2 linked regions of the Ovis aries genome follow. The protein of the gene in region 1 purifies or fractionates together with the protein of each later gene. This does not show direct contact. Links are inferred from orthologs where the notes say so. Each region holds a gene or a part of one and is shown on either strand. Other genes may lie near its edges.

The links. The genes of interacting proteins can lie anywhere in the genome.
Region 2: the proteins of HDAC11 (region 1) and GCFC2 purify together in Homo sapiens (co-immunoprecipitation; 3 studies listed by BioGRID and IntAct, counting the BioPlex papers as one, with this or other methods). This does not show direct contact. The link is inferred for Ovis aries from reciprocal best matches to the Homo sapiens genes HDAC11 and GCFC2.

The regions. Positions count from the first base shown.
Region 1 is NC_056072.1:58,341,126-58,345,556, forward strand, and holds part of HDAC11 (histone deacetylase 11), read right to left. Parts: intron 3,464-4,431; coding exon 3,421-3,463; intron 3,201-3,420; coding exon 3,124-3,200; intron 2,247-3,123; coding exon 2,184-2,246; intron 1,960-2,183; coding exon 1,863-1,959; intron 1,043-1,862; coding exon 864-1,042; intron 657-863; coding exon 441-656; 3' UTR 1-440. UniProt on the Homo sapiens protein: Responsible for the deacetylation of lysine residues on the N-terminal part of the core histones (H2A, H2B, H3 and H4).
Region 2 is NC_056056.1:62,829,307-62,835,685, forward strand, and holds the start of GCFC2 (intron Large complex component GCFC2), read right to left. Parts: upstream 3,777-6,379; 5' UTR 3,736-3,776; coding exon 3,465-3,735; intron 1-3,464.

The DNA of each region.
Region 1 (4,431 bases):
GGGAATCCCTGCCCAGAGAGACCCGGCTCAGCCCCCTCTTAGACGGCCCACCCCTGGCGGGAGGGGGAGAGGGTGTGGAAGAGGCAGGAGGGCGATCCTGCAAGCCTCCTCAGTCTGAAACGGCCGTGCTATGCTGAAAACTGGAGCATCCCACCCTGAGGAGCGCCCCCTGCACCGGAGCCTCACCTGTCTCCTCCCTCTGGGGAGAACCACCACCTCTGCGGTCTGGTCAGGCCGTGCCCCTGTGGGTCCTGCCAGGACTCAGGCCCTGCCCTCTGCCCCATCTGCAGAGGGGCCCGGAGTCCCCAATACCCGGGGCGGGGGGAGAGCGGAGCTGTGCAAGGCGCCCCCGACCCCTCGGCTGGAGGAGGAGATGCGCTGGGAGGCTGGTGGGTGGGTGGACGGGCTGCAGGCGGGGAGCCTCCGAGAGGGCAGCGTGGTCAGGGCACCTCCAGGGGCAGCAGAGGCGTGTCTGAGTTCTGTGCTGAGACGCTAGCAGACTCGGGCCCGATGAGCCCCAGGCCATACAGGTTAAGGATGGAGTCGGCGATGATGCGGGCCGTGCGCTTCTGGTAGCCGCCCGAGGTCACCATGAGGATGGGCAGCTGGCGGCCACGGACTATCCGGAACACCAGCTCGTCCCGCTTCACAACGCCCTGGGTGGGTGCGGGGGACGGGGAAGATGGGCTCAGGCAGGCTCGGACCCTCAGGGTGGTGGAAGTCCTGCTGTGAGTCTAAGCCCGCTCCATGCTGCTGCTGCCGCCCAGCCCTCTGGCCTCAGGAGGAACGCCCGTGCCACCCACGTTCCCGTCGCTGCTGAGTCCCCAGAGCAGAGCCTGCCCCCGCCCCGCCCCGGGACGCACCTGTGGACTGATGGCCAGCCCGCCGAGGCGGTCGCCCTCGAGGATGTCCGTGCCCGCGTTGTACACCACCACGTCGGGGCGGTGTTCCTGCAGAGCTTTCTCCAGGTTCCTCTCCACCTTCTGCAGGTACTCGTCATCCTCCGTGCCCCACTCCAGCTCCACCTTCCGCCTGATGGCCTCTGGCAGGGGAGACAGCGATGCCCCAGCGTGCAGCCGGGAAACGGGGGCTGGGGGCACTGCCTGCTTTCCCATCTGACTCTAGCGCTGCTCAGCCGCTCACCCACCCAAAAGTAAGCTAACAGAGCACAAGGACAGCGGATGGAACACTGCCTGGGGCTCAGGGACCCACACCAGGCGCCTGGGCTCACTGCCTCCGTGAGCTCTCTCCAGAGACACAGACACCCCATGTGCCCTCGGGTCCGAAGCCAGTCCGCTCGAGATGAGATTCAGTTCGGAATCGGGTCCCTGGGGCCACAGAGTGGCTGAGTCACCCGCAGGCGCTTTCTGCGTAAGTGTCCCCTCCCCACAGGGTGGGCAGGTCCCCCTGTCTTCAAAGCTTCATCGAAGGGTCTCCTGCCTTTTAATCGATGAGTTTAACCCACTGGCATTTATTTAACTGTCACATTTGAGCTGATTTCTGCCATCTTATCTTGCGTTTTCTACTTCTACATTTTTCTGTTTCTTTCTTGTCCTTCCCTATTTTCGACCGGACAGCTGCATGCCCGGGAGAAAATCCCACTCTATTCTCCAGGCAGCCACCCCAGCAGAGGGATTCACCGCGTGCTTTGGCGGGGGGGGGGGGGGCTGTTACACGGTCTTCCGTGGGTCAAGCGACCTCTCGGGTCTCAGTTTCCTTGTCTGTGAAGTGGGGATGGCCTCCCCCTCCCTGGGATGGGGAGGGTCAAGAAGTGAAGTGATGTCTGCAGGGCCCGGCACGCAGGGGAAGCCCGGCAGACAGAGCCCAGCTCAGGCGGGCGCGCTGGGGTGGGGGGCACTCACGCTTGGCGAAGCGGTCCCCGGGGTAGATGTGGCGGTTATACACGTCCATGATGTACACGCGCTTGTCGCCCATGAAGTCGCGCTCGTGCCCGTTGCCCTGGTGGGGACACAGAAGGCGCTCAGGGCAGGCCACCCGGGGCCAGGCCAGGACCCCCCAGCACGCCCCAGGGAACGCCCCCTGGGCGGGGGGGTGGTGGAGGGGCAGCAGAGGCCCAGCCTGGGGCTCAGGGGTGTTCCTGGGGGTGGGGAACCCCACCGCGTGGGGCCGTGTGTCGGAGGCCGCCTGGGGAGAGGGAGACCCCAGCCCCGCCGGGCGCTCACCTGATGGGCGTCGAGGTCCACGATGGTGGCTTTGGAGATGCCCTCCACTCGGTCAAACAGGAACTGCCCAGGGCAAGAGAGGGGAGAGGTGAGGACCCCCCGGGCGAGAGGGCGCGGTCCCCCAGGGGCCCTGGTCGGCGACGGGGTGGGCTGGGAGCGCCTCCGTGCTTGCGGGAGACCCCAGGCTGCCGGGAGGTCTGTGGGGCTCAGAGGAGCCTGTGTGTGTCTGCAGCGGGGACCGCCTCCCAGCTGCACCCGGAGCTCCGTCTTGCCGTCTCCGCCTTCTTACAGGGGCCCGGCCCTAGAGCCACCGCCTCGGGGAAGCCCTTCCTTCCCCTGCCCTCCCCTCCCGCCAGGCCTCCTGGCCTCTCCCTCTCCAAACGGCCAGGGTCTACTGCCCCTCCTCCTCATCCGTTCCCACGCCGGGTGAACAGGAGCCGCGGGGACCACATGGACACCCAGCCTGAGCCCCGACGCGGGTGCTGGCAGAGCGCTGGCTTCTGACAGCCGCGGAGGCCACGGCCAACACTGCCCCTTCGGGCTGTGCCCTCAGCCCTGCCGGCCCCGTTCCCTGAGGGTGAAGGGGTGAGCCCCGCAGATGCCAGTCACTGTTGCCACCATCAAGGTCTTGATCCCTGTCTCCTCCCCGCTCTCCTGGAGCAGAGCCCTGTCTCCTGTTAATAATCTAGTGGCGTCCTGTAAGCTGCTCTCCTCCGGTCCCCGGCCCCTGGAGAAGGCCCACAGGCAACAGACACGAGCAGGTGTCACGTCCACGTTTGAGTCTCAGCCCAGCTGAGGGACCCAGGTGAGCTCCCTCCCATTCGGGGCCTTGACTCCCTTCGTGAGAAAGTGTGCTGAGAACACTAGGCTGGGGGGCGTTCAGGGAGGCTCTTGGAGACGATCACCCTCGCCCCCGCCCGTCACGAGCGCTCGGACGCACCTTGATGGCAAGTGTAATGTCCGCGTAGGCGCAGAAGCCCCCTCCCCGGTCGCTGGAGCAGTGGTGGAAGCCGCCGCCTGCGAGGACAGTCGTGGAGTGGGCAGGGCTGGGCAAGGGCACGCCCCAGGTGCCCCCTCCATCCTCCCAGGGACAGCTCTGGGCCTCCAGGCTGGCCAGGCAAACGGACCCCCCCGGGGCAGGTCACCGCCCCCGGGTCCCTGGGTCGGGGGGCAGCTCTGCCATCACGGCATCCGAGCAGCTGCCACCAGGCCCCAGGCCCAGCCCCGGGGCACTCACCTACGTTGATGGCCCAGCCGCGGTCCACTGCCAGCTTCCCCGCCTTTGAAAACAAGCACAGGCTGAGGCAGGCAGGGGCCGAGCGCTTCACTCACTCCTGCACTGACTCACTACCCCCGTGAACACTGCAGGCAGCTCCAAGGTGCGGATGAGCTGTGAGGTGGGGTACGGGGGGCACCACCCACCCCCACCCGGCAACCCCCCGGCTGGCCTCTGAGACGGCAGCGCGTCGTGAGCGCGCTCAGTAGCGTCCGACTCTGACCTCGAGCACTGCAGCCCACCAGGCTGCCCTGCCCACAGGATTTCCCAGGCCAGAATGCTGGAGGGGGCTGCCGTTCCCTCGTCCAGGGGACCTTCCCAACCCAGGGATCAAACCCACATCTCCTGTGGCTCCCGCACTGGCAGGCGGATTCTTTGCCACTGAGCCACCTGCAAAGTGTAGACCCCTGTGGTAACTGTGTCAGGGAACTGGAGGAAACCAGAGTTCCGTTCTCAGGCTTGCATGCGAGCTGACAAGGATTCTCACGTGGCTCTCGAAGGGAAAACAGACACAATTTTGCTCACGGAAATACTGTTGCTCTAGTCCTAAAATCATGTAGGAACCCATCATTCTGGGGTGAGCAGGAATATTCTAATAAACTTTGAAAGTGCACAGATTTGCAAAGCTAAGAAGAAAACTACAAGGGGTCAGCCGGTGTTGATCCAGGTCTGGGTTAGATCACTGTACATTTCAATCGTTTCCACTTCTTTTCCTCACTGTCTGTGGCTGACTTTCATTGGAAGGACTGATGCTGAAGCTGAAACTCTGATACTTTGGCCACCTGATGTGAAGAGCTGACTCATTGGAAAAGACCCTGATGCTGGGAAAGATTGAAAGTGGGAGGAGAGGGGGCCGACAGAGGATGAGATGGTTGGATGGCATTGCTGACTCAATGGACATGAGTTTGAGTAAACTCTGGGAGTTGGTGATAGACAGGGAGGCCTGGTGTGCTGCAGTCCATGGGGTCACCA
Region 2 (6,379 bases), on another chromosome or scaffold:
GTGAAATACTTAACTAGTGATATAACATGAAATACATACTATTAAAGAATGCAACAAAAAGAGGGAAGGGAAAAAACAAAAAGAGAAAAAAGTAAATGACCAAAAAAAGAAGGAATATTTAAAAGAGAAAAGACGAACAGTGGTAGTAAATAAGCAGATAAAGAAGAGAACACTTAATGTATACTTGCTATGTGCTAGGCATACTGAAGTCTGTTTTACAAAATATATTTCATTTAGTTCTCACAATTCAATAAAGTAAATGCTATTACTGATGAGGACACTAGGGACTGGAATGGCTAAATAACATGCCCAGTATCACAAAGTTACTAAATGGAGAAATCCAACTCTTGGATTCAGGCTGGTGGTAAGAAGTATTATAATGGGCACTGCAGTCTCAAACTAAATCATGGATCTATTTCCACTGTGTGATTCTGGAAAGGACACAGTCAATTAATCAATAAACAAAGATAGTATTAAAAGAGAACACCCCATAGAAGTGTTATCAGGACTGAATGAGCAAAACGTAAAGGAACTCATGGTATTATTGACAAAAAAGGACTTGTTGGTTCACAATTATTTTGTAATATTTGTGAATAACCTTAAGATTTAAGATTGCATAATAACTACTCTATCTTAAAAATGCTCCCTAAGGATTTCCCTGGCAGCCCAGTGGCTAAGACTGAGCCTTCCAATGAAGGGAGTGCAGGTTTGAACCCTGCTTAGGGAACGAAGATGCTACCAATCATGCATGGGTAAAAGATTCACTCAGAGCGCAAAACACATGGATGGATTTTAATCTAATTGAGCATAACAAAATGATATGGTTTCAGCTCCCACGTATCATGCAGAAATTGGCACTTGCCTCCTGTCTATACAAGGATTAAATCACAAACTGCTATAGTCACTGATCTTCAACACATCCTGAAAGGAGTTCAGGGTAGAGATCAGGAATGAGGAACTCTGTGCTTTGGAAAAATTGGCAGAACAGGCCTTCAGACAGGTATTTTCAGGAGATTTTATGAGCCCAGTTCTTGCATCCCCTCACATCTAGAAAAGCACTAAAATCATTATTGGTGACATTTGCTCCTCATGACTAGCAGCAAGCTTCTAATAAAGTATGTTTCTGACTGCCCAACTCCTCTTCACTAAAATCACATATAATACTGACCTCTTCCCTACATCTCTGGAGCAGTTTCTTAGAGCTATATGAAATGCTGTCTCTTGGACTACAGTTCTCATTTTGCCCCAAACAAAACTTAACTCACAACTCTCACACTGTGTGTTTTTTTCATTTGACATCCATTGCAAACTAACCTTTGAAAACCTATTACTTTTTGAGCTTCTTTGTAATACTAAAGTAGAATACTCTCAAAGAACTAAAAAGGCTATTAAATACTCTTAATCACCTATCTGTGGTTTTCTTCACACCTTCAAACAAAACAATATATTTCAACAGACTGAATGCAGAGACAGCTTTCAGAATTCAGCTGTTTTCTGATAAGCCAGACATTAAAGACATTTGCAAACTGAAAACAATGTCATTCTTACTATTTTTTGGAAAACAGTTGTTTTTCATAAAAATGTTTCTTACCCTTACATGTAATGAGTTAAATCTAAAAAAGAATAAAAATGCATCTTCATTTCTAATATGGTAAACCTTATAGGGGCTTCCTCTCTGGTGGCTCAGTAGTAAAGAATCCTCAGCCAAAGCAGGAAACTCAGGCTTGATCACTGGGTCGGGAAGATGCCCTGGAGAAGGAAATGGCACTCCAGTATTCTTGCCTGGAGAATCCCATGGACAGAGAAGCCTGAAAGGCTATAGTCCTTGGGATCACAAAAGAGTTAGACATGACCTAGCATCTGAACAACAATAAACATCATAGATACAATCCACAGAAACAAAGGTTCTTTGGGATCTTTAATTATTCTTAAAGAGTATAAAGGGTAAACTTTAAGACCAAAGGGATAAGAACAAAACGTTTGAGAACCAAAGTTTAATCAGATGACTTACATAAAGCACAAAAATATTAAAAAAAAAATCATGAACACTTCAGACAAACAGATGATTATGAACAATGACTAAGAAATCAACAAATCATTTGGACTAAAAATACTGGGGTGAAAATATTCCTACCTCATGACTATATAACCAAAAACTATATATATATTTTTACAGATACTTTATTGAAATTATACCATCTTGAAAAAAAAAGTAACATATTTGTAACATAAGTTTGTTTTCTACATGGTATTTCATCCTGTGACAAACCAGAAATGTTGAATTATCATTCTACTGGTGACATTATCCACAGGTGACAAACTGGATATTCTACTCATATTAACAGGGCAGGGATTAACCTCAGTTCATCAAATCTGGGTGTTATGTATTCTGGAGTGCCATGGATTGAAGACAAAGTAGGTAAAAAGTGCCATTTACCTGGAGAAGCTGATTGCTTCTAGAGACTTTACAACTAAGTTCACGATGGAATATTTTTAGAAGTTCCTTTTAGACTGAAATATAATCTCAAATATTTTTATGCGTCTCTAAGTCAGAAGTTAATGTATTTATACTTCAAGACCCCACTTAAACAAGTTCCTTCCAAGTCTGTTTCTGTGTTTTTCTTTCTTCCTCTAACTATATAGCTTTATTTCTAACTATATTATCAAACTCAATTCAAACTAGAACACATCTCATGTAAACAACTTTATGCTGCCTGAATCCTATTTTCAAGAAGGCAAAGGTACTTCAAAATTGCTGTATTGCATTTAACACTTTATTGGTAGTCTACAGCGTCACCAATCAGTGAAAGTCGCACAGTTGTGTCCCACTCTTTGCGACCCCATGACTATGCAGTCCATGGAATTCTCCAGGTCAGAATACTGGAGTGAGTAGCCTTTCCCTTCTTTCCAACCCAGGGATTTAACTCAGGTCTCCCGCATTGCGCACGGATTCTTTACCAGCTGAGCCACAAGGGAAGCCCAATCTACTGTTAGTGACACAGCGCTATGCTTATCTTTTCTTTAAATAACCGATTAAAAAAAAAAAGTCCAAAAGTCTGTCACCTAAGTTTTCCCAGCGTACCGGTTTGGTTAAGTGTTTTCGAGAAAAAGAATTGGGGACAGAAAGCACTTCCGCCTACCGAAGAGTATTAGGAATTTTTAAACTTTTGAGTGACAATTTAGGTTCTCCGTAAAGCATCAAGATTAACACTAAAGCGGTCACTGGTGAGAGTTCAGTTGACGATGCAAACACAAGCCCAAACCGCGCAGAGTTCTTTCTACGCCCCCAAGCGGCCCAACATGGACATGCAGGCAGCAGGCCAGCGTTCACAGACAGGCACCTCCGCGATTCAGCGCCGCTGTAGTAGGCACCGCGTTACGGAAACCTTTAGACAGTCCCGCGGACTTCCACCTCACCCTCCCCACTCCCCGCTCCGGCCGCCCACTCTGCTGCCCAGCGTCACCTGGGACGTCCGAGGACCCGTCCAAGCGCGGAGCCGCTCTCGCGGCGTGCCGGGAACTAGCCCAGGCCCGGCCGCGGCGGCGGCCCCGGCCCCGGCGGCGCAGTTCAGACACCTCTGCGTGGCCTCTTCCACACGGCGGCCCTTCCACCGCAGGGTCCCGGGCCGCCTGCTCCCCCGTCGCCCCGGGTTCAGCAAATGTCTCCTGGGCGCCGTCGCTGTCACTGGAATCTGCTCGGCGCGGCCGGAACGTTCTTTTCGGCCTGTGAGCCATGGCCGAGGCCCCAGCGCCCCGCGCAGCTTCCTCTTCCCGCCGGCTAACCCCGCCCCTCTAGGGCAACTACCCAGGCAGACGCTCCTGCCTTTCCACCGCTTGCTTGCATGGGACCCGCCCAGCTGAGATGTCAGCTTCGCCCTTCGCATGCGTGCTTTGCTTCTCTCAATCTGCTGGAGAGCTGGGGTTCCAGGGATGAGGTATGGGGATGTAGAGCGTTCTCTTTGCTTTGCAAGGTGAGCTTGAGCAGATGGTCGCTGAGAAGTTCTCACAGACTCTGCCGTGGAGAGCAGCGCTCACAGGCTCCCTTGTACAAACGCTGTCGAGGAATCAGGCATTATGCCCACATCCTGGACTGGGACTGGATCTGCTCTTCTACTTTCTTTTTTTTTTTTTTTTTTTAATTTGTACATGTTTTTATTTTTGTTGTGGTATCTGCTGCTCTTCTACTTTCTAGGGAGAGTGAAGTCCTCTCTCCGAACAAGCATTAAAGGAGAAATGAAGCATTTTGTATCAATAAACAAGGATGTCACAGTAGTCAGTGATTCCAGCTCTCCAGAGCAATTGGGAAGAAAATAATACCTGTGATCCGGCTTTAGCTGCTCTTCAGTGAGTACTCAACATTCAGAAAACTACGATCATAGCATCTGGTCCCATCACTTCATGGGAAATAGATGGGGAAACAGTGGCAGACTTTATTTTGGGGGGCTCCAAAATCACTGCAGATGGTAAGTGCAGCCATGAAATTAAAAGATGCTTGCTCCTTGGAATAAAGCTATGACCAACCTAGACAGCATATTAAAAAGCAGAGACATTACTTTACCAACAAAGGTCCATCTAGTCAAAGCGGTGGTTTTTCCAGTGGTCATGTATGGATGTGAGAGTTGGACTATGAAGAAAGCTGAGAGCCGAAGAATTGATGCTTCTGAACTGTGGTGTTGGAGAAGACTCTTGAGAGCCCCTTGGACTGCAAGGAGATCCAACCAGTTCATCCTAAAGGAAATCAATCGTGAATATTCATTGAAAGGACTAATGCTGAAGCTGAAACTCCAATACTTTGGCCACCTGATGCGAAGAACTGACTCATCTGAAAAGACCCTGATGCTGGGAAAGATTGAAGGCAGGAGGAGAAGGGGATGCCAGAGGATGGGATGGTTGGATGGTATGACCAATTTGATGGACATGAGTTTGAGCAAGCTCTGGTAGTTGATAATGGACAGGGAAGCCTGATGTGCTGCAGTCCATGGGGCTGCAAAGAGTTGAACATGACTGAGAGACTGAACTGAAACTGAAACAGTGAGTACTGAGGAAAGCAGGGTACTGGCCGCCCGAGATAGCTGAGATACATATGAAAGAAATTTCAGTGAGCCCAAACTCTTACATTTTCCCACACATAGAATAACGCTAAATTCCTTGAGATATCTGGTTTTCTTTAATTCACAAAAATACTTTTGAGGTTAAGATTACCTGCCCTTTGTTGCATTCAGTTCAGTTCAGTTGCTCAGCCGTGTCCGACTCCTTGTGACCCCATGGACCTCAGCATGTCAGGCTTCCCTGTTCATCACCAACTCCCTCAGCTTGCTCAAACTCATGTCCATCGAGTCGGTGATGCCATCCAACCATCTCATCCTCTGACATCACTTTCTCCTCCTGCCTTCAATCTTTCCCAGCATTAGGGTATTTTCTAATAGGTTAGCTATTCACATCAGGTGGCCAAAGCATTGGAACTTCAAGCATCAGTCCTTTCAATGAATATTCTGGACTGATTTCCTTGAGGATTGACTGGTTTGGTCTCCCTGCAGTCCAAGGGACTCTCAAGAGTCTTCTCCAACACCACAGTTCAAAAGCATCAATTCTTCAGCACTCAGCTTTCTTTATGGTCCAACTCTCACATCCATACATGACTACTGGAAAAACCACAGCTTTCACTAGACAGACCTTTGTTGACAAAGTAATGTCTGTTTTTAATATGTTGTCTAGGTTTGTCATAACTTTTCTTCCAAGGAGCAAGCGTCTTTTAATTTCATGGCTGCAGTCACCATCTGCAGTGATTTTAGAGCCCAAGAAAATAAAGTCTGTCACTGTTTCCATTGTTTCCCCATCTATTTGCCATGAAGTGATGGGACCAGATTCCATGCTCTTTGTTTTCTGAATGTTGAGTTTGTCAGCCTTTTCACTCTCCTCTTTCACTTTTGTCAAGAGGCTCTTTAGTTCCTCTTCGCTTTCTACCATAAGGGTGGTGTCATCTGCATATCTGAGGTTATTGATATTTTTCCCGGCAATCTTGATTCCAGCTTGTGCTTCATCCAGCCCAGCATTTTGCATGATGTACTCCGAGTACAAGTTAAGTAAACAGGGTGACAATATATAGCCTTGATGTACTCCTTTCCCAATTTGGAACCAGTCTATTGTTGCATGTCAGTTTCTAACAGTTGCTTCTTGCCCTGCATACAGATTTCTTAGGAGGCAGGAAAAGTGGTCTAGTATTCCCTTCTCTTTAAGAATTTTTCCACAGTTTGTGTGATCCACACAAAGGCTTTAACGTAGTCAATTAAGCACAGGTAGATGTTTTTCTGAAATTCCCTTGCTTTTTCTATGATCCAACGGATGTTGGCAATTTGATCTCTGGTTCCTCTGCCTCTTC